2 linked regions of the Macaca fascicularis genome follow. The protein of the gene in region 1 purifies or fractionates together with the protein of each later gene. This does not show direct contact. Links are inferred from orthologs where the notes say so. Each region holds a gene or a part of one and is shown on either strand. Other genes may lie near its edges. The genes, in order: NEDD4 and LAPTM5.

Evidence for each region.
Region 2: the proteins of NEDD4 (region 1) and LAPTM5 purify together in Homo sapiens (affinity purification with western blotting; 3 studies listed by BioGRID and IntAct, with this or other methods). This does not show direct contact. The link is inferred for Macaca fascicularis from reciprocal best matches to the Homo sapiens genes NEDD4 and LAPTM5.

The regions. Positions count from the first base shown.
Region 1 is NC_088381.1:32,282,510-32,298,608, reverse strand, and holds the end of NEDD4 (E3 ubiquitin-protein ligase NEDD4), read left to right. Parts: intron 1-1,093; coding exon 1,094-1,323; intron 1,324-2,665; coding exon 2,666-2,787; intron 2,788-2,874; coding exon 2,875-2,945; intron 2,946-4,757; coding exon 4,758-4,853; intron 4,854-5,181; coding exon 5,182-5,255; intron 5,256-5,512; coding exon 5,513-5,573; intron 5,574-9,205; coding exon 9,206-9,265; intron 9,266-9,347; coding exon 9,348-9,455; intron 9,456-10,392; coding exon 10,393-10,489; intron 10,490-12,874; coding exon 12,875-12,947; intron 12,948-13,491; coding exon 13,492-13,594; 3' UTR 13,595-15,983; downstream 15,984-16,099. UniProt on the Homo sapiens protein: E3 ubiquitin-protein ligase which accepts ubiquitin from an E2 ubiquitin-conjugating enzyme in the form of a thioester and then directly transfers the ubiquitin to targeted substrates. Specifically ubiquitinates 'Lys-63' in target proteins.
Region 2 is NC_088375.1:204,269,058-204,285,156, reverse strand, and holds part of LAPTM5 (lysosomal-associated transmembrane protein 5), read right to left. Parts: intron 9,588-16,099; coding exon 9,494-9,587; intron 8,755-9,493; coding exon 8,678-8,754; intron 6,977-8,677; coding exon 6,848-6,976; intron 6,115-6,847; coding exon 5,992-6,114; intron 4,761-5,991; coding exon 4,665-4,760; intron 2,338-4,664; coding exon 2,245-2,337; intron 955-2,244; coding exon 865-954; 3' UTR 1-864. UniProt on the Homo sapiens protein: May have a special functional role during embryogenesis and in adult hematopoietic cells.

The sequences.
Region 1 (16,099 bases):
TTAGTCCGTTTTCATGCTGCTGATAAAGACATACCCGAGACCAGGCAATTTACAAAAGAGGTTTGTTGGACCTACAGTTCCACATGGCTAGGGAGGCCTCACAATCATGGCAGAAGGCAAGGAAGAGCAAGTCACATCTTACGTGGATGGCAGCAGGCAAAGAGAGAGCTTGTGCATAGAAACCATTAGATTTCATGAGACCCATTCACTATCACGAGAACAGTGCGGGGAAAGACCCGCCCCCATAATTCAATCACCTCCCACCGGGTTCTTCCCACGCCACATGGGAATTGTGGGAGTTACAATTCAAGATGAGATTTGGGTAGGATCACAGCCAAAACATATCACTGGCACAGTCTGTAAACGTCACCATCTGTTAATGAGTGAAGGAAGATAGACTCCAGGGAGGAAAGTAGAGGTAGGGAAAACCCTGAACAGACAGGCAGGCAACAGCTAGCAGGCAGTGGCTATCCTACAGGTCACAGAACGGTGTTCATTGGAACTTAATATGAAAAGGACTATTAATGAAATGCCTTCATGGGGGCATTACCATCACCATCAATAGCTTCTTTAGGCTGGGTGCCATGGCTCACTCATGCCTATAATCTCAGCACTTTGGGAGGCCAAAGCGGGAGGATTGCTTGAACTTAGGAGTATGAGACCAGCCTGGGCAAGATGGCAAGACCTCAGAAACTTAAAAAATTAGCCAGGCATGATGGCACGCGCCTATGGTCCAGTTACTTAGGAAGCGGAGGCAAGAGGATCACTTGAGCCCATGAGGTCAAGGCTGCAGTAAGCCATGTTCACGCCACTGCACTCCAGCCTGGATTACAGAGCTGTCTCCAAAAACCAAAAAGCTTCCTCAGATATAAAGAAGTCTATATTACTAAGTAATTAGAGAAAATGCAGGAACTCTCTCATACCGTAGAGGAAACCAAGACAATATACCTAGTTGTGTTTTCCCTGAGTATATTACGTAAGGAAAAAGAGACTTGGACACAGGGTGTAGAGGGAATGTTATAACTTCATGAGAGAGATGTTTGTGATTATGTTGAACTGATTTAAACAGTAAGTCTCTCCTCTGGATTTTCAGAATGACATTCCAAACAAATTTGAAATGAAACTTCGCCGAGCAACTATTCTTGAGGACTCTTACCGGAGAATTATGGGTGTCAAGAGGGCAGACTTCCTCAAGGCTCGACTGTGGATTGAGTTTGATGGTGAAAAGGGATTGGATTATGGAGGAGTCGCCAGAGAATGGTTCTTTCTGATCTCAAAAGAAATGTTTAACCCTTATTATGGGTTGTTTGAATATTCTGCTACGTAAGTACCTTTACAATGATTATAGGCAGAAAAAGAAAAATCACTGCTTTAAAAGTAAGAGTCAAATGATACAAGGAAAATATATGTCATGCCTGAAAAGGGCAATTTTAACTAATGTTGCTTCAGAAGTGACTTTTTTTAAAGTTGTGGTGAAATACACATTACATAAAATTTACCGTTTTAGGCCAGGTGCGGTGGCTCTTGCCTGTAATCCCAGCACTTTGGGAGGCCAAGGCGGGCGGATCATGAGGTCAGGAGATCGAGACCATCCTGGCTAACACAGTGAAACCCCATCTCTACTACAACTACAAAAAAAATTAGCCGGGCGTGGGGGTGGGCACCTGTAGTCCCAGCTATTTGGGAGGCTGAGGCAGGAGAATGGCATGAACCTGGGAGGCAGAGCTTGCAGTGAGCCGAGATCGCATCACTGCACTCCAGCCTGGGTGACAGTGCGAGACTCCGTCTCAAAAAAAAAAAAAATTACTGTTTTAACCATTTTAAATATACAATTTAGAGTCATTACATACATTCTATTGTTGTGCTGCCATCACCACCATCCAACTCTAGAACTTTTTCATCTTCCCAAAATGAAACTCCGTACCCAGTAAGCACTTGCTCCCCATTCCCTGGCAGCCACCATTCTGCTTTCTGTCCCTGTAAATTTGACTCCTCTGGGTACCTCACATAAGTGGAATCATTCAATCTTTGTCTTTTTGTGACCAGCTCATTTCACTTGGCATGATGTCTTCAGGGTTCATCCATGTTGTAGCATGTATCAGAATGTCCTTCCTTTTTAAGGCTGAATAATATTCCATTATTTTTGCATATAATGCTTTGTTTAGGCCAGGCGCGGTGGCTCACGCCTGTAATCCTAGCACTTTGGGAGGCCGAGGCAAGTGGATCACAAGGCCAGGAGTTCAAGACAAGCCTGGCCAACATAGTGAAACCCTGTCTCTACTAAAAATACAAAAATTAACCAGGCGTGGTGGTGGGCACCTCTAATCCCAGCTACTTGGGAGGCTGAGACAGGGAAATCACTTGAACCTGGGAGGCGGAGGTTGCAGTGAGCTGAGACCATGTCGTTGCACTCCAGCCTGGGGAACAGAGCAAGACTCCATCTCGAAAACAAACAAACAAAACTTTGTTTATGCATTCATCTGCCAAGGACATTTGGGTTATTTCCACTTTTTGACAGAAATTACTATTTTTAAAACCATTAAATTCAGTGGAGGAATGTGGTTCTAACAGTAGTAAACAACTCTTAAAAGAGGAAGATTATTTATAATTATTTGTCATATTCAAGTGTTTCAAATGAAGTATTTAAATGGGGTTGTCTTTACAGGGACAATTATACCCTACAGATAAATCCAAACTCTGGATTGTGTAATGAAGATCACCTATCTTACTTCAAGTTTATTGGTCGGGTAGCTGGAATGGCAGTGTATCATGGCAAACTGTTGGATGGTTAGTATTAAGTATAAACTTTTACAATGTAATTACCTGTTGTCTTTCACTTGGTAATCATCCTAAATGTATTTGGTTTTTTGCAAGGTTTTTTCATCCGCCCATTTTACAAGATGATGCTTCACAAACCAATAACCCTTCATGATATGGAATCTGTGGTATGTCTTTTTCACTTATAGTTTAGACAAAGTATAATTTAATAAGTAACTTGAACATTTTGAGGAATTTGCTTTTAATGACATGGAAATTAATATATTATGTTTCAAAATACAAATTAACTTTTTCCTCAACATTTTATTATGAAAATTTTCTAACGTTTAATAAAGATGGAAGTATTTTACCCCGCACACTTGTATATCCACTACTCACAATTGGTTTTTTCTAGATTTACTGTATCACATACTTGTCTGTCTATCCATCAGCCTATCTTAGTTTCTTCATGCATTTCAGAGTAAGTTATAGATAACAGTAAACATCCCACTAAATACTTCAATAGGTTGTACAAGTTATGTGTCTTTGGAATCAGTATTTGCATTACGATCTTTTATGATGAATATTGCATGTGTGTGTGTGTGTGTATATATATATATATATATTTTTTTTTTTTTTTGAGACAGAGTCTCGCTGTGTTGCCAAGCTGGAGTGCAGTGGCGTGATCTCGGCTCACTGCAACCTCCGCTTCCCAGGTTCAAGCAATTCTCTGCCTCAGCCTCCCGAGTAGCTGGGACTATGGGTGCGCGTCACCTCGCCCAGCTAATTTTTGTATTTTCAGTAGAGATGGGGTTTCGTGTTCGCCAGGATGGTCTCCATCTTTTGACCCCATGATCCACCCGCCTTGGCCTCCCAAAGTGCTGGGATTACAGGCGTGAGCCACTGCGCCCGACCATATGGTGTATATTTTTTAAATGGCAGTCGAAAGGCAAAGCATTATGGTTAGGCTCCTAGAAAAAAACAGAAGCCCAAGGATTAAACCCCTGACTGTAGCCATGTTGTTTCCTGTGCTGCTGAATAGCCTCACACGATGTGTGTACACATGAATTCTAGGACATCTTCCTTAGTACCAAGTTCATTTTTTATTTTCTTATTACATATTAACAGCACAAACAGTGTGCTTCTTTATAAATCGTAAGATTGCACGGTTATTTGAGTTGGTTCATTGAGCCTCTATATTTATTTAGAGATTTTTCTTTAACTCGGGCTGGGTATAAACAATGGCCTCCTCATAGCTACTTAAACATTTCACACACAGTGCCGGACACAGGGGTGCGCAACTGTAATCCCAGCACTTTGGGAGGCTAAGGCATGTGGAACTTGAGGTCAAGAGTTTGAGACCAGCCTGGCCAACATGGTGATAGCCTGTCTCTACAAAAAATACAAAAATTAGCCGGGTGTCGTGGTGCATGCCTGTAGTCCCGGCTACTCAGGAGGCTGAAGTAGGACAATCACTTGAGCCAAGGAGGTCGAGGCTGCAGTGAGCCACAATCACCCCACTGCATTCCAACCTGAGGGACAGAGCAAGACCCTGTCTCAAAAAAAAAAAAAAAAATTAAATTAAAAAATAAAAATAAAACATTATAGTCACGTAGGCATATGAGGAATGTGCTAAGTGCTCCTGGATATCCAAAGCCAAAAGTTAGGTTTTATCTGAAAACTTCTGTATTCATTCCTTTAACTGGATGATACAATCTGTACCTCCACTGCTTCCACATAAACATAGATTCTGAACTTTTCAGTAGGCACCACTTGATTGATTGATTGACTGGTGCATTTTTACTCTTGCCCTTACCATCCATCTCTTTTTGTAATACACACACATACACACATACATTTTTGTTTATGTGTGTAAGTAAAGGATGTCCATCTGACCTCTCATCTTTTACCCAATTACTCAGCCCCTCTACATATTGTTTTTTTGCAATTTCAGGTGTGTTATATGTACAAATTTTAAATACGTAATTTTTCCCATCTAGGATAGTGAATATTACAATTCCCTAAGATGGATTCTTGAAAATGACCCAACAGAATTGGACCTCAGGTTTATCATAGATGAAGAACTTTTCGGACAGGTTTGTTAATTTTGATCAGTTAAAATGGCACATAAATTGTGAAACAAATGTTTTGATGTTAATACGTACACTGAATACATTCCTAGGCTCTGTTTTTACATTTATTTTCCAGTAACAAAAACTGTCTCTCAGCAAGAATTTGTGCTTTCTTTAACATTTGACTCATTCCATATTTATTTTAGTAAAACTAATATTTTAAGTTTTCTTAGCTTTTAACTTGTGACTGGACTTAATTTAAAACACCAGGTTTCTTGTATAACTACAATATGTATACTTTTAAAATTTTTCTCAGTAAAATAACATATCAAGTTATTGTGTTTAATTTTAGACACACCAACATGAGCTGAAAAATGGTGGATCAGAAATAGTTGTCACCAATAAGAACAAAAAGGAATATATTTAGTAAGTATTTTGCTAATAATTATTTTATGGGATATAATTTTGTCCTTTACTCCAAAAAGACTCCACTTACCATCTTTCTCTGTCCCCTTGGCCAGAATCTCAGTGTTCTTTTTCTCTATCTCAATGCAGTAGCGAGCACTCATATTCAGCCTTTGCATTGGGCTCAGCTAGCCTTTAGTTTTTGTTTCTAACTAGAATAATTGTGACTCAGAATTTTGTCTTGGTTCATGTGAAAATGAAATGTTGTTTCTTTTTAGTCTTGTAATACAATGGCGATTTGTAAACCGAATCCAGAAGCAAATGGCTGCTTTTAAAGAGGTATTCGTTTTCTTTTATTTGCTCTTCCGTAATTTCATAGTATAACCCATAAGTTTCTTTTTTTTAATTATTATACTTTAAGTTCTAGGGTACATGTGCACAATGTGCAGGTTTGTTACATATGTATACATGTGCCATGTTGGTGTGCTGGACCCATAAGTTTCAAATATTGGGCCTCATCACTTCTGAGAAAAATAAGTGTATGGCTTGTTTTGTGAAATCATTCTAAATTATATTTTTATATTAACTAAATATTTCATTCAGTCATTCAAGAAGTCTAGACAATAAACATTGACAGGTCCCCTTTCCCCCAAGCCTTTTCCCTATTCCATTCCTTTCACCTTAGGACAGCAAAAGAACGAGAGTGCTTTAGGCGTAGTATAACATATTGTCTGTTTTTCTAAATAGGATCACCTTAGACATTTTGTTTTGTGACTGACTTACTTCTTTTTTTTTTTTTGAGACAGAGTCTCACTCTGTCACCCAGATTGAAATGCAGCGGCCTGATCTCGGCTCACTGCAACCTGTACCTCCCAGCTTCAAGCGATTCTCCTGCCTCAGCCTCCCGAGTAGCTGGGATTACAGGTGCCCGCCACCACGCCCAGCTAATTTTTGTATTTTTAGTACACACAGGGTTTCACCATGTTGGTCAAACTGATCTCGAACTCCGGACCTCAAGTGATCCACCCGCCTTGGCCTCCCAAAGTGCTGGGATTATAGGCATAAGCCACCGCACTCGACCTACTTTCTTCTTTTATCAGATATTTATTGGGGATATTTACATGTGAAAACATATAGCTGCCTTTCTTTGTGGCTATATTTTATTCAGAATATAAATTAGTAAGTTACTTAAAATTTCCCCAATTGGTAGACAGATTGTCAGAGCACTCATTTCTTAAGATAATTTACAATCTTCTGTTAAATAAGTATCTGGCTGGGCGTGGTGGTTTATGCCTATAATCCCAACACTTGAGGAGGATGAGGCGGGAGGACTGCTTGAGCCCAGAGTTTGAGACCAGCATGGACAATATAGGGAGACCTTATCTCTATAAAAAATTTAAAATTAGGCTGGGCACGGTGGCTCATGCCTGTAATCCCAGCACTTTGGGAGGCCGAGTTCTGGTGGATTGCCTGAGGTCAGGAGTTTGAGACCAGTCTGGCCAACATGGTGAAACCCCATCTCTACTAAAAATACAAAGAAATTAGTCGGACGTGGTGGCGTGCACCTGCAGTCCCAGCTACTCGGGAGGCTGAGGCAGGGGAATTGCTTGAACCCGAGAGGCAGAGGTTGCACTGAGCTGAGATCACGCCACTGCACTCCAGCCTGGACAATGGAGCGAGACTTAGTCTCAAAAAAAAAAAAAAAAATGAGCTTGGTGTCATGGCATGTGCGTATGGTCACAGCTACTTGGGAGGCTGAGGCTAGAGAATCACTTGAGCCTTGGAAGTCGAGGCTACAGTGAGCTATGAGCTATGATGGCACCACTGCACTCCAGTCTGGGCTACAGAGTGAAACCTTGTCTCTAAAGAGTGTGTGCGTGTGTGTGTGTGTGTGTGTGTGTGTGTGTGTGTGTGTGATCACATACTTTTTCATAAATTCCGTATTGAGTACTATGTGTATGGTGCTGTACGAGGCCAAAAGACATAAGTCCTGCTCTTAAGGGATGTATGATGTAAAGAGAGAAATGAACAGAGGCAAGCATAAAGTGCTAGGTGAGCAGAGAAGAGTGCAAACCAGGGAGGGGCAAAGGAAGGGACAAAGAAGGACTAGAGGGATTGGCCAACCATGGGGAAGAGGGAAATGCAGTTCTAGCAGGAGCAGCGTATGTGAAGTCTGGCAGTAAGGTAGGCTTTACCCACAGGCAGTTGAGTATGCTGGGTGAGAGAATGCAAGACGGAAACAGTCAGCCTGCAGAGCTAACAGACCAGCTTATACAGGGCCTGTGTGTGAAGCGGTAGAGTTTGGAGTTTTCTCTGAATTTCAGTGAGGGGGAAGGAAGGTAGCATTAAAGGCTATTAACCAGTAAGACACCAAGATTCAATTTATGTTTTAGATCATTCTGGAAGTGCCATGTAGAGCGAGTTAGAGGAGAGCAAGACTAGCAGCAGAGACTTCCCAGCAGAGTTGGGAAAGGGCTACATAATCTTGGTGAGAAATGGTAAGGAATTAAGGGAATGGTGAGGGAGTTGAGACAGGAATGGGAAGGGAATGAAGATAGTGGTGGTGGTCAGAGCTTCATGTGCATTTGAATGGCATTCAGAAAGGGAGACTTCAAGGATAGAGATGTATGGATTTGGGGCTCATTTGCCTACGTATAGTGAAGCTGCGAACTTGATACGATGGAAAATGTGAAAGGGCAGTGAAAGTGGATGGCCTGACATGTGGAGAGAGAACTGGGAACACCAGCATCTTAACTGTTGTTTTGAATGGATGGTTTATGAATGGACAGGTTAGGGCATGGGAGAAAAAAGAAAAAAAAAACAAAAAACAGGAGACTGTAAAGGAAATAAGGAAAATAACAAAGGCAGACAGAAAGATATCAAGAGCAGAGAGAGTTTCAATAGCAAAGATGGTTTTAATCATATCATACTGCAAAGAAGTCAAATATGATAAGGAATTGAATGTGTTTATTAGATATAGCTGCAAAGCCGTCTTTGACTTTTTCCAGAACAATTTCAAGGAAGCTGTAGTATAGAAGTCCGATTGCAGTGGGTTGAGTGTTAGATGGGAGGTGAGTGAATGGATATGCTAAGTGCATAACACTGTCAAGAACTTGCCTGTGAAGGGAAAAAGAGGGTCATTAGTTTTGTTTTTGTTTTTTTGTTTGTTTGTTTGCTTTAAAGGTAGATATGACTTGAGCAAATTTAAATGCATACAGAGTGAGCCAATAAAGAGAAAGAGATCTAGTGAGATGACCTCCCTGCGGAGCAGGTGAAGCACAGGTGCAGGCCTAGCCTGAAAGAAGAGGTGGCACTTCTGTCTTCCACTGCGGCGGGAAGGAGGCCATGATGGGTGTTGGTGATGGTTGGGACACAGGGATGCAGAAGCTTGAGGGAGTTCCATCATGCATAATTGCCTCTGTTTTCCCTCAAATAGAACTTACACTTACCTACGGTAAAGAAGGGGTGATGTGGAGGCTTGAGAAGGATGGCAAATTTGTTTTTTGTTGTTGTTCTTGTTGTTTTGAGACAGGATCTCACTTTGTCGCCAAGACTGGAATACCTCAGCCTCCCCAGTAGCTGGGACTACAGGTTTACACCACCATGCCTGGCTAATTTTTGTATTTTTTTGTGGAGACGGTGTTTCACCATGTTTCCCAGGCTAGTCTCAAATTCCTTGAGTCAAGCAGTCCGCCCACCTCAGCCTCCCAAAGTGCTGGGATTACAGGCATGAGCCACCGCACCTGGCCACAGGAAGTTTTAAAAATAGCCACTTTGAGGAATAAATGAGAGAACAGACTGTGCACATGTACATTTTCTGGCCAATATTGAGATCTCAGTGAAGAGCCCGTGATTGTGTAGCGGTAGAAACTTGTGTGTCTGTGGGATTCCTCCAGTGGCACCCGGAAGCTGAAGCATAGGAAAGGCCATTGGCCCTGCCCATCAGGTTTTTAAATACATCTTTTTTCTAGGGATTCTTTGAACTAATACCACAGGATCTCATCAAAATTTTTGATGAAAATGAACTAGAGGTAAGACATAACATTTTATGTTGAAACAGAAAATTTTGAACCCATTATTTTCCTTGTTTATAATTTGACATTTCTTACGTAGCTTCTTATGTGTGGACTGGGAGATGTCGATGTGAATGACTGGAGGGAACATACAAAGTATAAAAATGGCTACAGTGCAAATCATCAGGTTATACAGTGGTTTTGGAAGGTAATTTGAAACTTCTCTTTTCGTAAATTACTTTTTGATAGATTGAATCATATTTAAGTCAACTCTTGATTAACTATACTGGTGGATTACATTTAACTGACACAGAAAAATATAGAGACCAGCAAAAATGATCTTTGATTTTGTACCGTATACATGCACCTTCTGGGTCTATAACCATTACTAGGTAAGTAAAATGTTCAGAAGGTAGTAAGTGGAATGACAGGCTGAGACAGGCACTTAGTTTTCTACTAAAGTAGGGACTCTGAAAGAACTTGTAATAACCTACAGGGTATTCCTAGGGACTCCTGAGTGGCTCTTTTAAAATGTCTCATAGAGAAATGTGTATGCCATTCAATAATATTAATATAATGTGTTTTTTGAGATGGAGTCTCGCTCTGTCTCCCAGGCTGGAGTGCAATGGTGCTATCTCAGCTCACTGCCACCTCCGCCTCCCATGTTCAAGCAATTCTCTTGCCTCAGCTTCCCGAGTAGTTGGGATTACAAGCATGCACCACCATGCCTGGTTAATTTTTTTGTATTTTTAGTAGAGACGGGTTTCACCATATTGGCCAGGCTGGTCTCAAACTCCTGACCTCAAGTGATCCGCCCACCTCAGCCTCCCAAAGTGCTGGGATTATAGGCATGAGCCACTGCGCCCAGCATATAAGTTTTAAAAGTCATGAGTCATATCTCAAGAGAAATTTTGTTACTTCATTAGGTTATAATCCCATTCTAAAAAGTTGCCATGTAGCCTTACAAATAAAGTTTTCAAGAACTTTATAACCCACCCATAAATAAAAATTTAACTAAAAGAAACATCCACATCTAGTAAGGGATTGTTACTATTCTAGCTAAATTCTGATAGCTTATGTTTCAGGATAATTTGTTTACCTTTTTCCCAGTGCTGTTCCCTAAATGATGTTTTTATCTTATTCAGGCTGTTTTAATGATGGATTCAGAAAAAAGAATAAGATTACTTCAGTTTGTCACTGGCACATCTCGGGTGCCTATGAATGGATTTGCTGAACTATATGGTAAGGATTTTCCATAGATCATTAAAAAAAATGGAGTGATGCCTATTGTCTTTTTCATGGCTGATGAATCCTCACGCTTCCATCATTTACTAACATTTAGCTTAATTTTAAAAAGAATTAAGATTTTGAAAGTGATATCATTAGAGACACTAGAGTAGGCTAAAATATATTTGCACCTTCGAATCAGATAATAAAGGGGAAAACTGGAAACATCAAATGACTTACGAGTCACTTTCCCTTCTTTAACTTCAGATTCTATGCCCCGTGTGCGTCAGTTACAGAAAAAGCATTACCTTGGCCGGGAGGGGTGGCTCACACCTGTAATCCTAGCACTTTGGGAGGCCGAGGCAGGCAGATCACTTGAGGTCAGGAGTTCAAGACGAGCCTGGCCAACACAGTGAAACCCCATCTCTACCCAAAAATACAAATATTAGCTGAGCTTGGTGGTGTGCACCTGTAGTCCCAGCTACTCGGGAGGCTGAGGCAGGAGAATTGCTTGAACCCGGGAGGCGGAGGTTGCAGTGAGCCGAGATTGCACCACTGTAGTTCAGCCTGGGTGACAGACTGAGACCCTGTCTCAAAAAAATGAAAAAGCATTACTTCTCATGTGATAGTTCAGGATAGCATTTGAAGTTTCACAGAATGTCACTAAGTGTATTCAAGTTGAATACCTTTAGGGAAATGCTGGACTAAACAAAGTTAAATGGATTTCTTCAGGACTTGTGTAGAACCTTTACTGTTAGAAGAAAACAAAAGCATTGTTTCCCAAACTTATTTGATCATGAAATCTTTTTTTTTTTTTTTTTCCTTTCAAGATAGGGGTAGAGAATCTCGTTAGGCTACTATTTTTCATTTCCTGGGGGGAGCACCGGGACTGGGGAGAAGAGTGCCCATATCTCTTGATTTTTAGAATAGTTAATGCAGTTTTCAGTAAAGTAAGATTCTGTGTATTCTATCAAATTATTTTTCAGTTGATGTACAAAACTGGAGGTGTGTTTTGTTTAAAAGTGCCGTTTCTGATGTAGATTGCAGCAACTTTTCTCACATTGATTCATATTCTGTTTATTGGAATGATATTTACTTGCTTTTAAGGATACCAAGAATCCAAGAATAAATCTTTTAGAAAGGATGTAGCTGAAGTGGGAACCCTACTCAGAACAACGAGTAAGATTAGGATTGTCCTGGGGATTAGAAGTCGGGACTGCTGCCTAGGAAATCGCTAAGCTGAATTTGTTGTGCAAATAGAAGCTGACCATCTGATGGGATAGCTAAACCCTTTCTTCATGGCAAATCTGGTCAGCTTGCCAAGCCTCATTAATGTGTGTTTGCAGAACTGATCAAGCAGCTGCTACTTCTCTACCTAGAGTAACCACTCAAAAGTGGTTAGCTTTGCCACGGACCAATTCAGTCATTCTTTGCCTAATTGGACTTCATAGCCTCTTTCTTTTTCGTGGTTTCACCTGATTCCCCTTCCTCTCTCTTCTCTGCCTTAACCAGTTGGTAGTGAAAAATAAAGGCAGGGCAAACAAATGCCCCTTTCTGTCTCTGGCCTCTCTTCCCTCTTTTATGTAACCCAGCCCTATAACCATCCACTGATTTCATGCACTGTTTGAAATTTGGGGCAGATATGCCACACATAGAGCCAGAGTTGTTTGTGTTAGAATATAAAGTCAAATTCTTATGTATTTATAGAAATAAGTTGTTTCAAAATGTTAAAATTACAATATTAGATAGCCAATAAAAAGTATGTTAAGTTGGCTAGGTGCAGTAGCTCATGCCTGTAATCCCAACATTTTGGGAGGCCGAAGCAGGCAGATCACCTGAGGTCAGGCGTTCAAGACCAGCCTGGCCAACATGGTGAAACCCCGTGTCTACTAAAAATACAAAAATTAGCTGGGTGTGGTGGCACGCACCTGGAATCCCAGCTACTTGGGAGGCTGAGGCACAAGAATCATTTGCACCTAGGAGGCGGAGGTTGCAGTGAGCTGAGATCATGCCATTGTACTTCAGCCTGGGTGACAGAGTGAATGGCTTGTGGCCAGGAGTTCAAGACCAGCCTGGGCAACATAGTGAGACCCCCATCTCTACAAAGTGAATTTTTTTAAAAGTTAGCCAGGCGTGGTGGTGCACACCTGTAGTCCTGACTACTCAGGAGGCTAAAGCAAGAGGATCACTTGAGCGCAGGAGCTTGAGGCTATAGTGAGCTTGAATCATACCCTTGCACTCCAGCCTGGGTGACAGAGGGATACCCCATCTCTAAAATATAAATAAATAAACAAACCAGATTAGTTCCCTGTGTGTGTAGGTTCTACACTAGAAAAAGTTTCCATATGCCTGAAGATCCCTGTAGAGAGTAAATGAAACCAAATAAATTCTTCCTTATAGGTTCAAACGGACCACAGTCATTTACAGTTGAACAGTGGGGTACTCCTGAAAAGCTGCCAAGAGCTCATACCTGGTAAGCAGTTGTTTGGACCTTGATAGAACGAAGCCTATCACTCAGAGAGTGAGGTTCCTCTGACTGTTAGTCTAGCTACAGCAGGGCTAGTCTCCTCTGTGTTATGTCGGTGGCAGGTTGGATTAGGGGTAAGGAGGAGTTGGTGACACTAACCCAACGAACGTGTGTTTTGTTACCAAGTCAGCCCGGGCTTGAAGTCCAGGTAGCTGAAGATCAGAGAGATCCATCTAAACTGAGTGCTGAGTGATGGGCTGTCCCAAGAGGGGCTAGAACATTCCATTTTGGAGGTTGAAATGGCAGAGGAACTCAGACATTTGGAAGATGTGGTGGGGGCAGGACTCCACAAGGAGTCATGCAGAGTATCCATGTCCAGAACCCAGTCCTACATCTTACTTCTACCCCTGGTGAAAAGACGTATTTTGGTGGTGGTGGCACATACTCATCATGAATAGCAGCGTTGCTCTGTTTGCCGCTATTTCAGTGTCTTTCAGTGGTACCTGCTTTTTCAGTGTCTTTCATAACCAGTTCCTCTCTCTTCTTCCAGTTTTAATCGCCTGGACCTGCCACCTTATGAATCATTTGAAGAATTATGGGATAAACTTCAGATGGCAATTGAAAACACACAGGGCTTTGATGGAGTTGATTAGATCACAAATAACGATCTATAGTGTTTTCACTGCCATAGTTTTATAACCAAAATCTTGACTTAAAATTTTCCAGGGAACTACTAAAACGTGGCCACTGATTCTTCCCAGATCTTGAAGAAAATCATATAAAAAGCATTTGAAGAAATAGTATGACAACTTATTTTCAATCACTTTTAAATAATGTGTTGCATTTACACAGTTGTTTCATTCTGTCCTTAGAGTTAGGTGCCTGCCTAAAGCCAGGTACCACCACGCCTGGCTTTAGAGTTCACGCAATAGGATATAAGTCCTGTATGACTTAAATAGTGAATTTTGTCCTTAACATTTACCTCTTGTATAGTATCTGCCAGGCAGTTTTTTCTTAAACTACTGAGATGATAACTGTGAAATATTTGTGATAAGTGTCATGTGTGAAAAGTTTGATGCATTTTGAGATGGAAAACTGAAATTTGAAAAAAGAAATACTTTACTATTGAGTAAACTACAATATATTTAGTGCTACTCGCAGCTATTTATTATTTTGTACACCAGCCTTATGCACCTTACTGCCTAGATTTTTGGAAAAAAACCTTGGAAAGTGTGTTACCTATATTTCCAGCCAACTCACAGAAAAACTGTTTACTTCTTCACTTTCAAAATATTTGGCTTTTGTTAATATGCAGTTTTTACTAAACAGGTGGTTCATAAGACATGTGAAGCAAATCCATATTTGCAATGGGTAAAAAGTATTAAAGCCTTTTTCTCTTGCCTGCATATCCTCTTGACCATTGGCATAGTCATCACTTTTTCATTTTAGTGTAGTTAGAAGAATTCCTTCTTCAAACATTAAAGATCCACAGAGCAGTATTTCTAAGTATGCCTTGAAGAACTAAATGAAGTGGATAGCACTTGCCTTTACTAGACATTCTTTACACTTGTACAATTATGTAGTAAATGTATGTTTACAGGGTTTATTATGTTTACAGATTAAGCTAATTTCTGTAGTCGCCTTTTTATATTTTTAGTATCACTCTAGTAAAAAAAACCAAATGATTTGTTTAAAGTAACCAAAGAGTTGTTATAATGCATAATTTGTATTAAATGTATTACTATTTCTTATGCCTTTTAAAAATACTGTTTACAGTGAAGACAATGTTTTTATTACAAATCCAGAACTCTCTAGGCAAAATGCTACAGTTCGAATCTTCCTTTAACCAAACTCAAGTACATAAAGACCATGTACATGTATTCGTCAAATATGTATTGAATGCCGCGTGCATAGCGCTGCGCTGTGCTCTGGGGGAAGAGTTGTCAGCTTCAGAGAAGCTGAGTCCTGATCCTCAAGGAATTTGCAGATGTGTCGATGAGTTTGTAAAACAATCAAAAGTAGGGGTAAGCAGAATAAGGCAAAAGGGAAAGTGTTCCAGGTTCCAGCACACCTGCAGAGATAAAGTATGCCAAGACTGTATTTATATTTCATACTTACATTGTTTCATCCTTATATTGGAGTGATTATATAGAAAATGCTCTTAAAAAGATTAAACCTATTTCTCAGTATGGTATCTTGGTGATTTAGGAATAATTGTAAATATATGTTGTGAATCTTCTTAAATATATATATATACACCCTGTGAGAACTGTAAAAAGTACCTTGGTTCTTGGTTTAAGTTTGTTGGGGTATAACATCATGAGTACTCATTAGCACCTGATAGAAATCTGAAATACGACAGTAGCAAAAGCACTTTCTGCTTTCCAAACACCGCATCATCAGCATGGTTTAGGGGAAGCAATTCACAGATTAACGTACCCTGCGTTTTGTCTTCACCATTGTCAACCAGCAGTCAAGGATGAGCGCCAGGTATAGTCCTGGTTTGATCTCTCACCAGCCATGTGAACTGAAGCAGCTTACTTAACCTCTCTGGATTCATATTTCTTCGTCTGTCAAATGAGAATAATCATGCCCACCCTCAATGTCATGCCAGATTGTCATAAGTTCCAGACAGATGAGAAAGCAAAAAGTACTTTGTAAAGTGTTATACAATCAGAAGGTGCTTTGTGCTGACCGTCAGATTGTGTCAAGTCAGGTGTGCAAATTGACCACACTCCCAAAGAATCATTTAAAAGTAAAGTGACTTCTAAGAGACAAGGAAGTAGGAGCATATCTGATATTAAATATATAAATAAATATAGATACACATGTGTATATCTGTATATGGATCTTACCATCATAATTCATTTTCTTCGTATCAGCAAAGTAATAGTAATGTGGGCCAATGCATTTTGGAAATGTCCTCATTATGTAGAATGGAATGTGAAAATTATTTTTGTTTAAAAAGGATTTTGCTGCAATTATTTAAATATTATGTTTGTGAAGTATCTAAGCATGAGAAAATACAAAGCTTTCTTTTTATCTGGCTGATACTCATTTGGATGATTCTGTGACTCATAGAACACGGTGTTAATGAGACCAGACTCACTGCCACCAGTCCCCAGCTGCAGACCGTCATCCCCTTCGTCTCCTACTGG
Region 2 (16,099 bases), on another chromosome or scaffold:
ACAGAGCAACTGAATAGGTGAGCATTGGACTGTTGATGACAACTCTTCCGCAGAACAATTGTGTGTTTGAAGAGACGGTTTTATGATGAAATAACTGTTATTTCCTGGAGCTAATTATTGAATGACAGTCTGTCAACTGTTTAAATTAATCTCATTTGAATTAACAATTATACAGTCACTCAGAGGTCCTACATTCACCAGAGTTGGCATCCAGTTGATGGGTTCATTTGAATAAAATGGTTTGGAGGCTAACTTGGTTTTTTAAATTGAATTTCGTCACTATTCTATGTATTCTATTTATCACTATTCTAAACGACTCATGGTTGGCTAACTGATTATCATTTAAGCAAGCTAGTTGAAGAAATTGATTACATATATATTTATATATGGGGGTAGCTAATTGATGACTACTTGATTAAATTGCTATGTGAAGTGACAACTATTTATAAATCAATGCAATAGACTGTTGTTTTGACCAAATTATGTTACTGAACTGACAAGTGGGTTTTTGATGCGTCAGTTGCTTGGCTGAACTGATCAAGTCGATAGTTGCTTAACAAACTCACCAACTTTAGAATGACCGATGGTCTAAACAAGTGTCGGAGCTGATTGACATAAACCAAGCATTGTTGGGCTGAATTTTTGAGAGACCTGAGGAGTGATTCAGCCTAAAGCGTTGACCCAATTGTGAGCAGCTCACAGGCCCTGCAGGAGGAGCAGGCCAGCGAGGGAGACACAAGCAGATTGTCCTGCCGAGGGGGGGGGCAGGAGGGTCCACCCAGGCTGCAGGGGCCACCAAAGCAAAAAAGCAAATTATGAGGCAGCTCCACCCCTCCCAGCACTGGGGCTGGGGCCAGGCGAGGGTCACACTTCTGAGTATGGGGGTGGTGCTGGGTCGCCCTCTGGGGTCTTCGATGGCAAAGACAGGGCTTCCTCGTAGGACGGAAGGACCACCTGGGAGAGACACAGAGATGAGGGTTGAGTATGATCAAAAACGACCTGCAATTCCAACCCGGGGTCATGGGACCCAAACCCCCACCTCTGGCAAAATGATGCTGGTGCTGCTGCTGATGATGATGATGATAATGACTGGCAGGTCTTGGATGTTTGCTATGTGCTAGACACTGCCTGCATGAGATAGGTGCAGTCCCCAGCCCTGTAGTGGACATACTTGCCTTTGCCTATTCAGCATCAAGTCCCCCTTATTTTGAATACAGTGCACCATTTTCCTTGGGAAAACATTCTCTGTCCATATACCTCCAAAAGAACTCGTCCCATCCCTCAGATCCAGCGGGGTGGCTGGACTTGGCCACTCAAAGTAGAATTCCATCCTCCTGGCTATCGTCCTTGGTTTGGGGATAGGCACGTGGCCCAAGTTGGTCCAATCAGACATACTACTGGGACCTTCTTTTTCTGTTGGGATTACTGAGAGGGTGGGATATCGCCTAGGGGTTTTGGCAGTCATTTTGCCACCACAAGGGACGGGCTTCCTGAAAATGAAGCCAACATCAAGGAAAGTAGAGTCGAGAGATGGAGAGGATGAGATCGTATCCTGATGTCGTAATTCAGCCAGGCCCAAGCCAGACCTACATTTGGCTGCTAAGTTCTATGAGCTAGTAAATTCCTTAAGTCAGATTGAGTTGGGTTTTTGCCACTTGCAACCAAAAGTGCCTTAACTAATACAATCTCCACCTTACCGGGGAGGAAAGTAAGTTACCAGGAATTTAAACCATCACTTTCCAATAAGCTACTTCTAAGTACACCCCATCCTCTCTTCCCCGAAAGCCTCCTTCTCCTTTCCCAGCTATCTCGTATCCATTGTCCCTCCAAGACCAGTCAACTGTCACCTCCTCCAGGAAGCCTTCCCTGATATCCAAAAAGAGGCCAGGTCTTTCCTCTGTGCTTACTGTCCCTGTGCTTCACACCAAGTTGTAATTGTATCTATGTGTCTGAACTATACACTCCTCTAAGGCAGAGGTGGCATCTTAGTTTTCTCTGCGCCCCCTGGGATTGATATGAGACTAGCAAAGAGTGAGAGGTAGTAAATACTGAATAAATGAATGAGTGAGTGAATGAGTGAGTGAATGAATCTTAGACTACCAGAACTGAAAGAGACCACATTTCTTCTGTTCCAACCCTCGTCTTACAAACAGAGAAACCAAGGTCCAGAGAGGGAAGGAGACTCGACCCAAATGGCACAGGCAGTGAATGGCAAGGCTGGCACCCACCTGCAGCCAAACTCACCTTCTGGAACATCTTGGAGTTGCTCCTCTCCTCAATCGAGTTCAAGCACTTGATGAATCTGTAGCACCGCCACACACACTTGAACATGTAGACCTGGAAAAAGGCCCAGGTCAGGCTGTGCTCTGCTGAGCGTCCTTCTCACACTCCAGCAGGCCTAGGACGTATGCCAGGCAGGAGCCACCACTCTCCCCAGAAGCCAGCATCCAGCCGCTCCTGCTCAGACCTCTCATTCTGTTCCTCACCAGCCAGTCCAGAATATTCCAGGTACTGCCCTTTTCATTGCCCCATAGACACCACATAGCAAGCGGATTTTGGTGGCTTCTGGCCCACCCTCCAATTTCCCCGGCAATAGACCCACAGCTCCTGCTTGACTGCCCACACTGACCGGGAGCTCACTACCTCCCGAGACAGCCCTGGCCATCTGGAAACAGAGCTGATGGTGGGACATGTTTTCTTCAAAATTGCTTCTGATATGTTGTTTTCTAAAGCAGATTACAAAACAGCATGTGCAGTATTGGTCCATGTTTATAAAGGAGGAACAATTGGTATATATCCATCAGCTGATGCAAGTTGATGTAAGAATTGGGCAGAAGCTTTCCAGAGTGGGGCGTACAATCCCAAGGGGCGAGCTCAAGAAACAACAGAAAACCCCCAGGATGCCCCCTGAGCAGGAGGAGAGGGTCCTGTATACTGGAAGGTCTTGTTTGATGGATTCCCTGGTTGGGCACATAGGTGGGGCAAGGAGACATGTGGAGGTACTGAGTGACAAAGAATGAGGCATGAAGGCCCAGGGAAAATCAAGTCGGTGGAGGGGGCCAGCAAGGCAGAATGAGGGTCAAAGAGGGAAACCCCTCATTCTGGAAGATCAAAAACAGAAGGGGAGCTGGGGGACGGAGCTGTGTGGTGGGATCTGGGGAGGGGTCCTGCAGTAGAGAGTGCCGTGGAAACCCCACACTGACTTCCCCCATGAAGCCTTTGGAGCGTTCTCACTGCACACTCACTAGTGCTTTTGTGCTAGGTCAGTCCTTGGAGAAGATGTTAAAAGGGGCAAGGTTCTGTTTCTAGATTGGCATTAGGTGACGGCAGAGACTGCCCAGGGCCTCAGATGGAAGCAGGAGCTGGAGTCCGCAGACGCCCACCCACCAGCACAGAAAGGCTGGGGGGAAATGCCCCAAGTTAGCAGTGATGTTCTCTGTGTGGGGTGGGGATGGTGGAGTGCTTGTCTTCTTTCTACTTATCTGGAGTTTTTTGTTTTTTGTTTGAGAGGGAGATTCTCACTCTGTCGCCCAGGCTGGAGTACAGTGGCACGATTATGGCCCACTGCAGCCTCTACTTCCCAGGCTCAAGCAATCCTTCTGCCTCAGCCTCCCTAGTAGCTGGGACTACAGGCACGTGCCACCACATGCGTCTAATTTTTTTTTTTAATGTTTTGTAGAGACAGAATCTTGCTATGTTGCCCAGGTTGGTTTTGAACTCCTGGTCTCAAGCAATCCTCCCAACTTGGCCTCTCAAAGCACTGAGATTACAGGTGTGAGCCATCGCACCCAGCTCACCTGTAGTTTTTTAATTTCTACAATGACCTATGTTACTTTTATGATCAGAAAAGAACACTTCTTAAAAGCCCTTCCTTCTGTTCTGTGGTCATCAGCATCCCTGTGGCTTCAGGCCACAGGCCCCCATTGTGGCCTCTAGGATCCCACAAAATTCCCCACGAGAGTTCTTCAGGTGTTAAGAAACAGCAGTCGTGTCCCCCTTGAGTCCTCTATTTTCCATGCAGAATAGCACTCAGGTCTTCGTTGGGTTTTGTGGGGGGGTTTTTGACTTCCTAAGATGGTATGTTTTCTTGTCTCTTCACATTGCTGGTTGCACTGCTGTGAACACACTCTGGTCCTTCACCATCACTCAGACCTGGGTCCTGAAGCTGGACCCTATCCCTGGGCCTGACCACCCCAGAGAAGAATGAGACCATTCCCCTCCCTCCTTCTCATCAACAAACCTCTATTAACATGATCTCAGGCACATGTGGATGCCTGAATTACACAAAACTGTAACATAGGCAAAGTAAGACTCATGCCCCTGAGGCCCAGAGAGAAGTGACTTGCTGAAGACCAAGCACACAGCTAATGACAGTGGGGCTGGGATTCAAACGCAGGCCAGTCCAAATCTAATTCCGGACAGCTGGAATTAGACATCCGAACGCAGGTGGCCTTCATGGATTCACATCCCCTAAACGGGCTGTCTCGGAAGATCCCAAGTAAAGTCAGAGGAGCTGGCATGGGATAGCAAGAGAAAGGAGCTAAAAGCAGGAGAGGAGGCATGGAGGACACGTGTCCCTGCCTTCTAACAGCTTGGCACGGGCAGGCCTGGGCCCAGCACGCCTCACCACCCCTCCCAGAGCCACAGGGCAGGGGTCCACTCACCTTGAAGATAAGGACAGTGATGAAGGCGATGGAAAAGATGATCATCATCTTGATGAACTGGTTATACGGCATATCCTCCTGGCTGGGGAGGTAATTCTGCAACAGATTTGGGAGCCACATCAATGTCTCTGGACATAAGGAATTCCAACAGCACCCACACATCCAGGACTAATGATCCCACCCTCCACACACACAGGAGCACAGTGTGGCACAGCCGTCACCTTGGTCGACCGCCACAGCAGCCTTAGGAAGCAGGTGCTACCCTCAGCCCCATCCCACTGACGGGCAAACCAAGAAAAGCCAAGTGGCTACTACCTCCAGATCCGCGTCCCAGGCTGGTGCACCTGCCCATCCCCAACTGGCAGGTGTCAGCTGCCCATGGGCCACACCTATGCCCTTCTCTAGAAGATCATTTTGGCTGATAGGGACCACCTAATCCACTAGTACCCGGGAGGTTACATTCGCTCCTCTAGGGGCAGCTTGAAACCAATGACTGATGCAGAGGAACTCGCCCTAGGTGAGACTGCCTCTGCGGTCATTTGCAAATATTACCACACATTCTTTGAGACTCCTCCCTTCTAAAGGTAGTGTTTATTTCCTGTCCCCATGAGTGTGGGCTGGACTTAGCAACTCACTTCTAACTAACAGAGTGTAACAGAAGTGATGGAAGTCGTAAAAGACACTGCCTTTCCTCCTTGCTTGTCTCTTACATCGCTCCCGCAGGGGAAGCCAGCAGCCATGTCAGGAGAGCACTCAAGCATCACTACTACAAGTCCACACGATGAGGAATTAGACAAAGAGCCCACATCCTGTGAGTGAGCCACTGGGAGTGCATCCTTCAGATCCAGTCAAGCCCTCAGTTGTCCACAGGCCCAGGGACCATCTTGGGTGCAGCCCACCAGAGTCCCTGGGTCAGAAGAACCCAGCTAAGCCACTCCCAAGCTCCTGATCCTCAGAAACTGTGTGAAATAATAAATGTTTATTGCTCTAAGCCATAGTGTTTAGAAATAATTCATTAGACAGCAATAAAAACGGATATTATGTCTGTGTTGCAATTCACACACCAAGGCCCTCTCTGGGATCATGCAGGGCTGCTCCTATAGTCGTGTCTTTGCTTGGTTTCCTCCTTTTCTCAAACCTGCCTTCCTCACTCCTTACAAGTTTCCTCCTGAGAGGGCTCCCTCAATACATCACCAACACAAGAATCTTCCTCCCAGGTTCCAGCTCCAGGGAACCTGGCCTAAACCACAGACACACAGAGACATGAAGTAACTTGTTCAAGGCCACACAGCCAACAAATGGGCATGGACCACTGCCCCAGACTCACCATGTGGTTCATGGACTTGAAGTTGAGATAGGTGGGCACTTCCATGTAGGAGCTGCAGAGGGTCAGGATGCTCAGGCAGAAGTCCAGCAGCTGCAGCGTCATCAGGGGGAACTTGGAGGGGCTCTGGGGAGGACAAATACAAGGAGGAAGAATAAGGAGCGGCAATTAAAGTCCCAGTTACTGAGCAGCACATAATATGCCCTCACTTGAGAGAGCATCTCAGCTACAGACATCATCGACTCATCCCCTGTGCACAGAGAGACGTGAACACACAGATGTTCATACCAAGAGCTGGTGGCAAACCTGGGACTAGAACCAGGGTCTCCAGACTCCTAGGCCAGGGCCCTTTCACGATGTAGTCCCTCGGTCTCTTCAAGGACAACAGTTGGGGAAAGTGAGAAAAGCAACTTTGGGTGACTGTGTCCTTGACTGGTAGCAGCCCTCAAGCCACTCCACAGTGGACACTCACTGGCAGGAATCATCCTTCTCTTCCTTTCTTCAACTTGGAATAACACTGGGGGCTGGGGGCCTGAAAGCACACGTGCCCTTTCCTCAGGTGTCAATTCACTCCCAGCGGCACTGACCAAATGCTGACCATGGGCTACACCCCCCAGTGTGCGTGTTCCTCATTTAACCTTCATAAAGCAGGCTGGTGAGATGTGATTGCAGGTACATTCCACAGAGGAAGAAACTTGGGGCAATGTGGAGGGACTCAGAGACTGGGTCAAGACCCCAGCCAGGAAGAGGGCTCCTACCCTCCCCAGCCTGAGCCCAGGGCCCGTGTCTGGCCCCCTCCCATCTCCCATGCCAGGCCTGGGGTCTGCTGTCCAGTGAGAGGTGGGGGCTGGGTACTCACAGCACGGCTCCGGGAGGCCAACTTGAGGTAGGCAGGCAGCTCAATGTAGGAGCCCAGCAGGGTGAGCAGGCACAGGAGATAGTCCATGATTTGCAGGGACAGGAAGGGCAGCAGGTACTTCTCCCGGTTCTGAAAGGTAGGCCCAACACCATCAAGTGTCCCCTGCATGCAGCCAACACTCCCCCACCCAGCCTGATGTCCTCATGCATCCCCTGCCCACCCTCTCCCAAATCTTCCCTGCCCTCCTCAGTTGAGGTCACCTTCCTCTGAGTGACACTCTGGGGACAGGGAGTGGACAAAACCCAGGCCCTGAATGAGAGGAGTCTTGGTGTCCCAGGAGACGTAAGGGAACCGTCCCCATCTATCAGGGCTCAAAGAGCAGGATTTGACTCAATTTGCTCACAAGAACCCAGCAAGGAAGGGCTTTGTGCACTTTTTACAGAGGAGAGGGGATCGGAGAGGACTTGCTGGAGTTGGGGACACCAGGGCTAGATCGGGGAAGGAGACTAGGAGCGAGCAGGAGGGAGGGGTGGGGCACTGGAGGCAGAAGGACCGACATGAGCGAAGGCCCAGAGGCAGCAGAGAGCCCTGGCCCCCCACCCCCTCCATCTCCCCCACCACCACCCCACATACAGTTGGACCTCCCTCCGCGGGCCACTCCCAGGGGTCCAAAGTCACAGTAAGGGGCCCTGCCAGGAAGAGGCTGAAGTCCCTCTCCTTCAATTGAAAGCAAGTGACCACCGTGACCAGTATTCATTCATATGCTCTCACAGCTGGGGACAAAATCACGGAAACAGGGGTTTCCTGGTGTCTCATGTGGTCATTTAAAATCACTCAGGAGGCAACCAGAACAACCTTGACTGATCTCAGAGTCAAGGACCACTTGCTCCATTTCTCCATTTCCCTAGCTGAACCATTTGAGTTTCTGCACAAGCACCCAGAGCCACCCTGCACAATGCAAACGGCCTCCCCGGGGAACATGGGTTCCAAGACACAGTGGATGTTAGCAAGGGGAGAGGGTGTTGGCATTTTAGGCAGGGTGGGTGCATTCCAAACCAGCACCAAATCATCACCTCACTCCTCCGGCCCTGCAAGTGCCAGGCCCCTGTCTGCTCAGGAAGGACTCTCTTTCTGGATCCTACTCTCATGGCCATGTGATGAGGCCCTGGCTTCCTGCCTTTCTGGGGACCAAGGGACAGCGGCTTCCTCTTCTGCAGGGGGTTGAGCTGCAGCCCATCTCAATCCTCCCACCAGATTTGCCTCGGGCCCAGGAGCCCCTCGTTGTCACACTAGACTGTCCCTGTCTCTCTGAGGGCCCATCTTCCCCAGTTAAATCATGAGCTCTCTGGGGGCCTTCCAGGGCGTAGGTCCCCCTCAGGGTGCTGGCACCTGTCACTGCACAGATAGAGCTGCATGCATCCTACGTTCCTCCTGCTTCGGCTCCTCTCATCCATTACAAAATCCAGTGCTTTCTCCCCTCCCTCACCCCCAGAAACAACACTTCCTCTTCTCACTCTCCAAATTCCCTGCTTCCACCTGCCATTTAAAAGGATGTGGGTCATCAGCTAGTTCTCACCGAAATGTCGGTGACCAGCATGGCCCACCAGGCCCGGCCCCATGGAGGCTCATGTTACCAGGGAACCGAGGTCACCAGCCCAGGGAATCTCAGGGAGAAACATGGTTCGCCAAAAGGTAAATGTGAAGATCTCCAGCATGCAGGTGGGACCTCCGAACACACCCGCCTCCCCCCCGTCTCGGCACCCAGCACTGCCCATCAGCGGGTGTGAATAACAGGAAGGGGCAGGGGCAGCGGGGCTCCCGAGCCCTCACCTTGACCACACCGATCAGCAGGCTCAGGCTGATGACGAAGAGCATGGCGATGAGCATGAAGCTGGAGATCAGGTCGGCTGAAAGGCAAGGAGAGCAGTGAGGCGCTCAGGGGTACCCCCGGCACCCAGCCAGGCTCCCAGGAAGACACTTCAGGAACCACTGGTTTGGGGACACGAGGGTGCACAGGAAAGCCCAGGCCCTGCCCTCACGCAGTCCTCAGTCTGGAGTGGGTACAACGACAAAAGCAGAACATCACGCGTAGCACAAGGTGGATGCGACAGAGGGTGTTGGGCTGGAGGTGCAGGCTGGGGTCCACTTCAGCCAGGGTGAGGCCGAGGAAGGCATCCCTGGGGAGTGGCCTGAGAGCAATGAGGAGTCGGCCTGAGACAGGGACAAGGTTGCTGAGGTCAGTGTGGCTGAAGCAAGGTGTGGGCTGAAGAATTGCAGGGAGATGCTGTCAGAGAAGTGGGCAGGGGCTGGGTCCCATGGTGAGGAGTTTCCATTTTATTCTAGTGTGATGAGCAGCCACTGACAGCTTTAAGCAGAAGAGTGAGGCTGTCACCTTTACCAGCTGGTGGGGGTTTGCAAAGTGCCATTCCATCTGCTCTCACCACCTGCATATGTGGGTGGGGTCAGGTGGAACATCCCCATTTGCAGATGAAACAGCCGAGGCCCCAAGAAAGGAAGACACTTGCCAGAGGTCATCCATCGTCCATGGAGAGGTGACAGGGCCTCCAACCCCAGCCTGGCTATCCCCAGCCAGGGCCCTCCCTGTCCTCCTCCCGCCGCCACTCCACCGGCGTCCCCTGGACCTACCGATCCTGAGGTAGCCCATCTTCGAGAGCTTGCAGGACGCCTTGCCATGGGCCACCTCTATGGAGTGCTCGATGAACAACAAGACGCTCATGATCTGGAGGCAGAGCAAAGCGTCAGTCAGCTGAGCCTGCATCACGGCCCCCCGACCAGCTCTTCCCACCTTAGTGGTGTACAGCAGGGAAGCCAGTAGTGAGGATCCTGGAGTGGATGGCATGCCAGGTCAGTAGGGCATCCCAGACAAAAGAGTGGCCTTTACATAGAAAGCCCATGCTCAGAATCCTGGGTCTTCCTCTCTCCAGCTGTGTGACCCTGGACAAGCTACTTGACTTCTATATGCCTTGGTTTGCCCATCTGCAAGATGGGGATAATACTAGTAACTTCCTTAGGAGGCTGCCGTGAGAAGTAAATGAGACTATCCCAGGAGAGCCCTTGGGCCCGGCTCTCAGTAAGAGTGGTAACTGTTACTACTGAAGGTCAGGCTTAAAGGGGTGGGGTGGGGGGTAGAAGTTGAAGGCCCCTCCACTGCACCCCCTTCTCTAACAACAGGCTCTGGGGATCAGAGAGCATCATAGAGCTTCAGGTTCCCGGAATCATCAACACAGGCCCAGGAGGGCCCTGGAGAGCATCTAACCCTGAATCCCTGTCTCCCATGGCCCCTCAGGGAATAATAACATCTTCCTCACAGGATTGTGGTGGAGCCAGATGGGATAATTCACTTAAAGTACCTGGCAGATAGTAAGCACTCCATCTGTGCTATTATTATTACCGTTATCCCCACTCGACTGTAGGTTCCAGGCAGGGAAAGCTTGTGTGTGTCTTTGTTCATCCCCCTAGCTGTTGTATTTGTTGAATGAATGAATGAATGAATGAATGAACAAATGAACCCCACGCTCTCAGAGGACCGTTGCTAAGAATGATGGGGAAGGGGCGAATCTGATAGGCCAGAGTGTTGGGGTGGACCTAGAAACCACTGAAATTCAGCCACAAAACTGCAGTTTGAAAGAACCTTGGAGATCACTTTGTCCATGCCTTCCACCAGCCAGTGCAGGAATCCTGTGCCATGCAGCCTCTGCTGAAGTGCTTCCAGCCATGGGGAACTCACAACCTTACGTGTGTCCATGTCCTTGCAGCAAGCCCTCCACCCTTCCCCTACGACACACATGCAGTTCTCCTCTGCCCATATAAAGAACAAGAAGACTCTCCCCTCCCTTCTAGTGGGTGCCCTATCTCTATTAATATGGCCCTAAGTTTACATTGGCTTTCTAGGCAGCCCTGCACTGGTAACTTATGCTCAGCTGACAGGCAACCAGCTACCCACCATCTGTTTCCCCCTTGCTGACTGTGTGGGTTTGTTTTTTGTTTTTTTTTTTAGCTCAGACACAGGTCTCAACTTGTCTTCCTGCCACATTACATCCTGTTTATGGGCGTGGAAAGGGACTGAACAGAAGAGTGATGAAGAGCTGGGCTCCAGATCAAGAGGGATTTGAACCCAGATCACTGTGTGACCTTGGGCAAGTCTCTTAACCTCTCTGAGTTGCCTCATCTGGAAAACTGCAATCGCTGGATTCAGTGAAGATTAAATTGCATTATACTTACAAAACCCTGAGCTCAGGGACTGGCAGGGGGTGCCCAGCAAACAGAATCTGCTTTTGGCTGGGGCAAGCTTACGTGGTTGGGCAGTAGTACCAGGAGCATGGTGCATGCTCTAACTGCCCCCTCTAGCTGCTGGAGAGTGAGCTGGAAAGGCTTTGTCTCATCATGAAAGTCGAGAGCACCCTGAGCAGAAGGCAGGTGTGGTGAGGGCTATGGCTAACACTCAGAGGAAACAGCCCTGAGAGAAAAACTCCTTCCTCAGTCCCTAAAGGCCAAGCCGCAGCCCCTCTCCTCTCAGTTTCACCTTGAACGAGAGAAAGAGAAAGGGAGGCAGATGACAGCTCCATCCAGCACAGAACGGGGTGTCCTGTGAAGTGGTGAGCTCCCCGTTCCTGGGAGTATGTAAGCAGATCACAGATGAGTCACAGCTGGGCTTAGGGAAGGACCATGAGCATCAACCAGCTGTGAAACGAGAAGACTTTCAAAGTGTCAAGATTCCAGGAGTATCTGAGATCTGGAACAAAGCCTAGAATCAGATCATCTCAACCTCCCCTTGCTAGAAGGAGCCTACCTCTACTTGTTTTATAAGCTCCCTCTGCTTGTTTTATAAACTCAGAGAGATTAGGTGGCTTGCCCAAGGACACACAGCAAGTTGAGTGGGGGATCCCAAGTCTCCCAGTGCTATTCTGATGCCTTCCCATTCCCCTGACCCCCAAAATGCCTCAGAGCCCTGCTAGCCTGAACCCTGGGGAGGACTTCGATGTTTTCATCATGCACCTATGTCAGTAAAACCTTCTGAACACACGCCTCTATCTTCCTTTCTTTCTAAATTACATGAATGTGTTACTGTCCTAGTTTATCATGAACATCATAAAACAGCTACTAAAAAATTTCCAGAAATTAAAAAATTGTATGATTGAAAAATTTAGAATTTTAATATTGTCATCCTGAGGCCATGAGGTCACCCTGAACATTACCCGACTTTAGAGACCTCTACTAATCCTCAACTCCCCTCTCAACTCCTCTGTTCTCCTCCAAGCATCCCTCACTGCCCTGCAACCCCTCCAACCACCCCAGGGGAAGAAGGGGACATTTGTATAGCCTAACCCCACGCCACGTGATCTTCCCCTCTACTCAGCAGAGGGATTATTAATACTTTCACTCTCATTTCACAGATGAAGAAAGTGCAGCTCAGGGAGGTCCAGGGCCTTGCCCAAGGCCTCCCAGCTGGTCATATGTAGGGTTAAGGTTCAAATCTTGGCCAATTCCCTCCACTGCCCAGCATCTCCCAGCCACCCAGCTCTGCCTGAGGCCTGACCCTTCCCTGTGCCTCAGTGGAGGCAGAGAGGTGCCCCCATCCCCTCTCCCTCTGTAGTCCCCCTCCCTCCCCTCAGCCTGAGCACCAGACACCAGAGGTATTTCTACTTTTGTGAAAACCACGTGCACTTAAAACCCAGGTCACCCTCCCCCTATTTCACCTTCTCAACAACCCTGAGGCAGGGGACGGGGGAGGACTTTGTCCCTATTGCCGGATGGCCCACGAGGCTCGTAGAGAGCAGGGACCGGCCCACGGTCACGGAGCGAGGCAACCTCAGAGCCTGACTCAGACTCTGCGGGGCCCCGACCTTCCACGAAGATGCCAGTCCCTGACCCGGTAGAAAGGGAGGAAGCTCGGCTCCAGGCGCCCATGCTGCTCTCTAGGACATAGAATGGAGAAGAACTCACATTTATTCAGCAGCTACTGTATGCTCAGACCCGCACACAGAGGCTTGCACTGCAATCTCCCAAAACTTTACAAAAGAGGCAACATTTTCCTGTTTTACAGATGAGGAAATGGAGGCTGAGACAGAACTCATGTCCTGTGTCACGTGGCCCGGCTGGGGTGTGAACCCTGTTGCCTCTCTCCTGGGGTCCGGGGCTCCCCACAAGGCTGGGCTGGCTCCCCTGGGACTCCAGAATCTCTCCAGCCATCTGCCCACTCTTCCCTGGCAGCCAGGCCCCAGCCCCTCAGAGCTCAGGAGACCAGAGCTGGGGAGCAGGAGGCCTCCGCCACTGCCTCACTGCTGTGTGGCCCGGGCCAGGTTCTGGCTTCTCCCCGGCCTCAGTGTTCGCCTTTGGTCAATGAGAAGAGACCCTCATTTTCCCCTGGGGCCATGGGGATGACAGAGCGCAGGAGGGTCAGTGGGGTGGAGCTCCTACACACTGCAGGACATCTCACCCAGGCTGCCCACAGTCCTCCACCCCCAGCCACCCCAGGGCCAGCACCCTACCCCTCAGAAGGCCCTCACTGCCCCACCCATGTCCCTAACCAACAGCTATTGGTAATTCCTGGAAAGTACCTGGACGACCTACAGAGTATGCAAAGAGTCCAAATTTCCAAGCTGGCCAGGCACGGTGGCTCAGGCCTGTAACCCCAGCACTTTGGGAGGCCGAGACGGGCGGATCACGAGGTCAGGAGATCGAGACCATCCTGGCTAACAAGGTGAAATCCCGTCTCTACAAAAAAATACAAAAAACTAGCCGGGCGAGGTGGCGGGCGCCTGTAGTCCCAGCTACTCAGGAGGCTGAGGCAGGAGAATGGCGTGAACCCGGAAGGCGGAGCTTGCAGTGAGCCAAGATCGCACCACTGCACTCCAGCCTGGGCAACAGAGCAAGACTCCCTCTCAAAAAAAAGAAAAAAAAAATTTCCAAGCCCCCAGCCCTTGCTTTCCCTTCATGCCCCTGGTTTCCACCTGAACATAGCGCTGGCTTCTCCCTAAGCTCTGAGAGCCCAGCTGGGCTGTGACCTTGGAACACAAGTCTTCCCACGACAGGCACAAGGCTTCTCTCCTCCAACAATGCCCAGGCAGATAGCATGCCCTCACCCACCTGTTCCCCCATTACAGCATCTTTTAACCCACTGTCCCTTCATTCTATGCTGGTGAGATCATGAAGATAAGAGTTGGGGTGCTGGAGTCAGATGGCCCCAGGCCCCAGCTGATCTCTGCACCCTTGAGCCAGCCACTAACCTCTCTGGGCCTCGGCTCCTCATCTGAGGAATGGGGTTAATCACTGACCTGCCTCACAGGATTGCTGAGGTCAAATGGCATCATGCAGTGCACAGAGCCAGGCACACAGCGGGTGCGCCACAAGCAAGCACAGTTGGGTGGTGGTTTTTGCTACCTCTGGGCTTTCACTGACTCTCAGTAAACACCCGCTGAGCACCCACCACCTCCAAACTCTGTCTAGACAAGCCACTGACTCTGACGTGCCGGTGTCTCAGTCTCCAGGGAACTCAGTGCATGAATGGTGTGCTCAGAGTCATGACAGAGGACACGCATGGGGCTTGGGGTCCTTGATAAGGGATAATGCATTGCTATTTAAAAAACTTAAGGAGAGTTTCACCAACAGGAAACCCACGAGCATGGCTTTGAAGGATAAGTAGGAGTTTTCCAACACAGAAGAGAAGAAAGCATTCCAAAAGAGGGGACATCGTGTGCAAGGCTACAGGCCTGTCAGTGCAGGTGTGTTTCAGTCTCTCCAGGGAAGCTCAGAAGGTGCGGGAGTGTCTCTTCCCTGAGAGGAGGATGTTACCAGTGGGGAAGTATGGCCCAGAGAGAGACAGCGACCAGCCCAAGGTCACACACCAAAACTGTCGCAGGGTCAAAATCAGCTCTGTCCTCCTGCCTCCAAGCCGGGCTCAGGCTGCGGTCCCAGCCATGCTCAGCCACCGTTCCCACCCCCACTCTCCTTTCCCGCTTTTCACCTCTTCCTTCTGCCCCTCTTTGGTTTCAGTTCTTATTCCTGTCTGCATGCAGCACTTCTTTCTTAATGACAAACACAGCTTCCCCAAGCTGGCCACTGGGGAAGTGGCCAGGGCGCAGGGGTATTTGTTTCTTTTCCTGGTGGCTCTGAGGAGCAAGCAACAGGTTGAGCTAAAAGAATGGGGGCAGGGGCTGGAGGAGGGAAATCAGGGAAGGTGGGGACAATGGGGTCAGTACTGAACATGGCTGGGCAATAAGGATGGCGGTGCCAGAGGGGATGCCGTGTAAACAGTGCACCAGATGTCACCTGGGAGGCACTGGCCATGGTGACCATGTGAGATGGGGAGTGGCTGTTGGGATGTTGTTGGAGTTGGCGTGGTGATGACAGTGATGATCAGAGATGCTGCTGGTGATGCTGGTGACAGTGATTGGGGTGACGGCAGTGGGGACATCAGGATAGGATGGTGATAAGGAAGATCATGTGGATGGTGGTGATGACACCAGAACCCCCAATTCTGGGGTTCAAAGACCAGTCCCTTCTGCAGAAGAACAGGCCCACTCTCTCACACTCTCTGATGCCCAGGATCCACCATCTCAGAAGCAGACAGGCAGAGACCCACCCTCTGAGATTTTCAGGGAGGTGAAGGTTACAGAGAAAGAACCCAGCCTTCAGTGAGCACCCATCGTGTGCCAGCCGGAGTGTGGACACTTTCCTGTCTGTTTACTTCATTGGCTCCTCCTACCAAATGTGCGAGCCCAGGACAGAGGCTGCACAAGAAGACATGCCCGGGCTTGTCCTCAACCCTTCCCAACAGACAATGCAGTTTGCCAAATGGGTCCCAAGTGCCACAGCCTTCCCTTGCCCCTCCCGCTCAGGGCTGCTCCACCCTGACCTTGTGTCCTATGGCCTCACACTTCTGCCATCATCGTTACCATTATGGCCCGTCCCTGAAGCTCAGTCCCCTCAACCTCACCTGCCCACCCTGATTTCCCCGGGTTGTCTGGGAGGAGGATGTCAGAAGGGAGTCAGATGTATCACTGTCAAGAGGAAGCTCCCCTCCCCCACCCTGTGCTTCTGGTCAGAGCTTATGGGGGGCTCAGTGGGGGCCAGCCCCCCAAGAGCTCTATCTCCCCAACCACCTCTCCAGCCAGCCCAGATACCACCAGACGCCCCCATTCCTGGGGCCACGCACTCTGCAGCAGCCCCGCCTGGCTGCCTACAGCTCCCCAGAGCCTTGCTTCTCTCTCTTCTTCACTCTTCTGCAGTCCT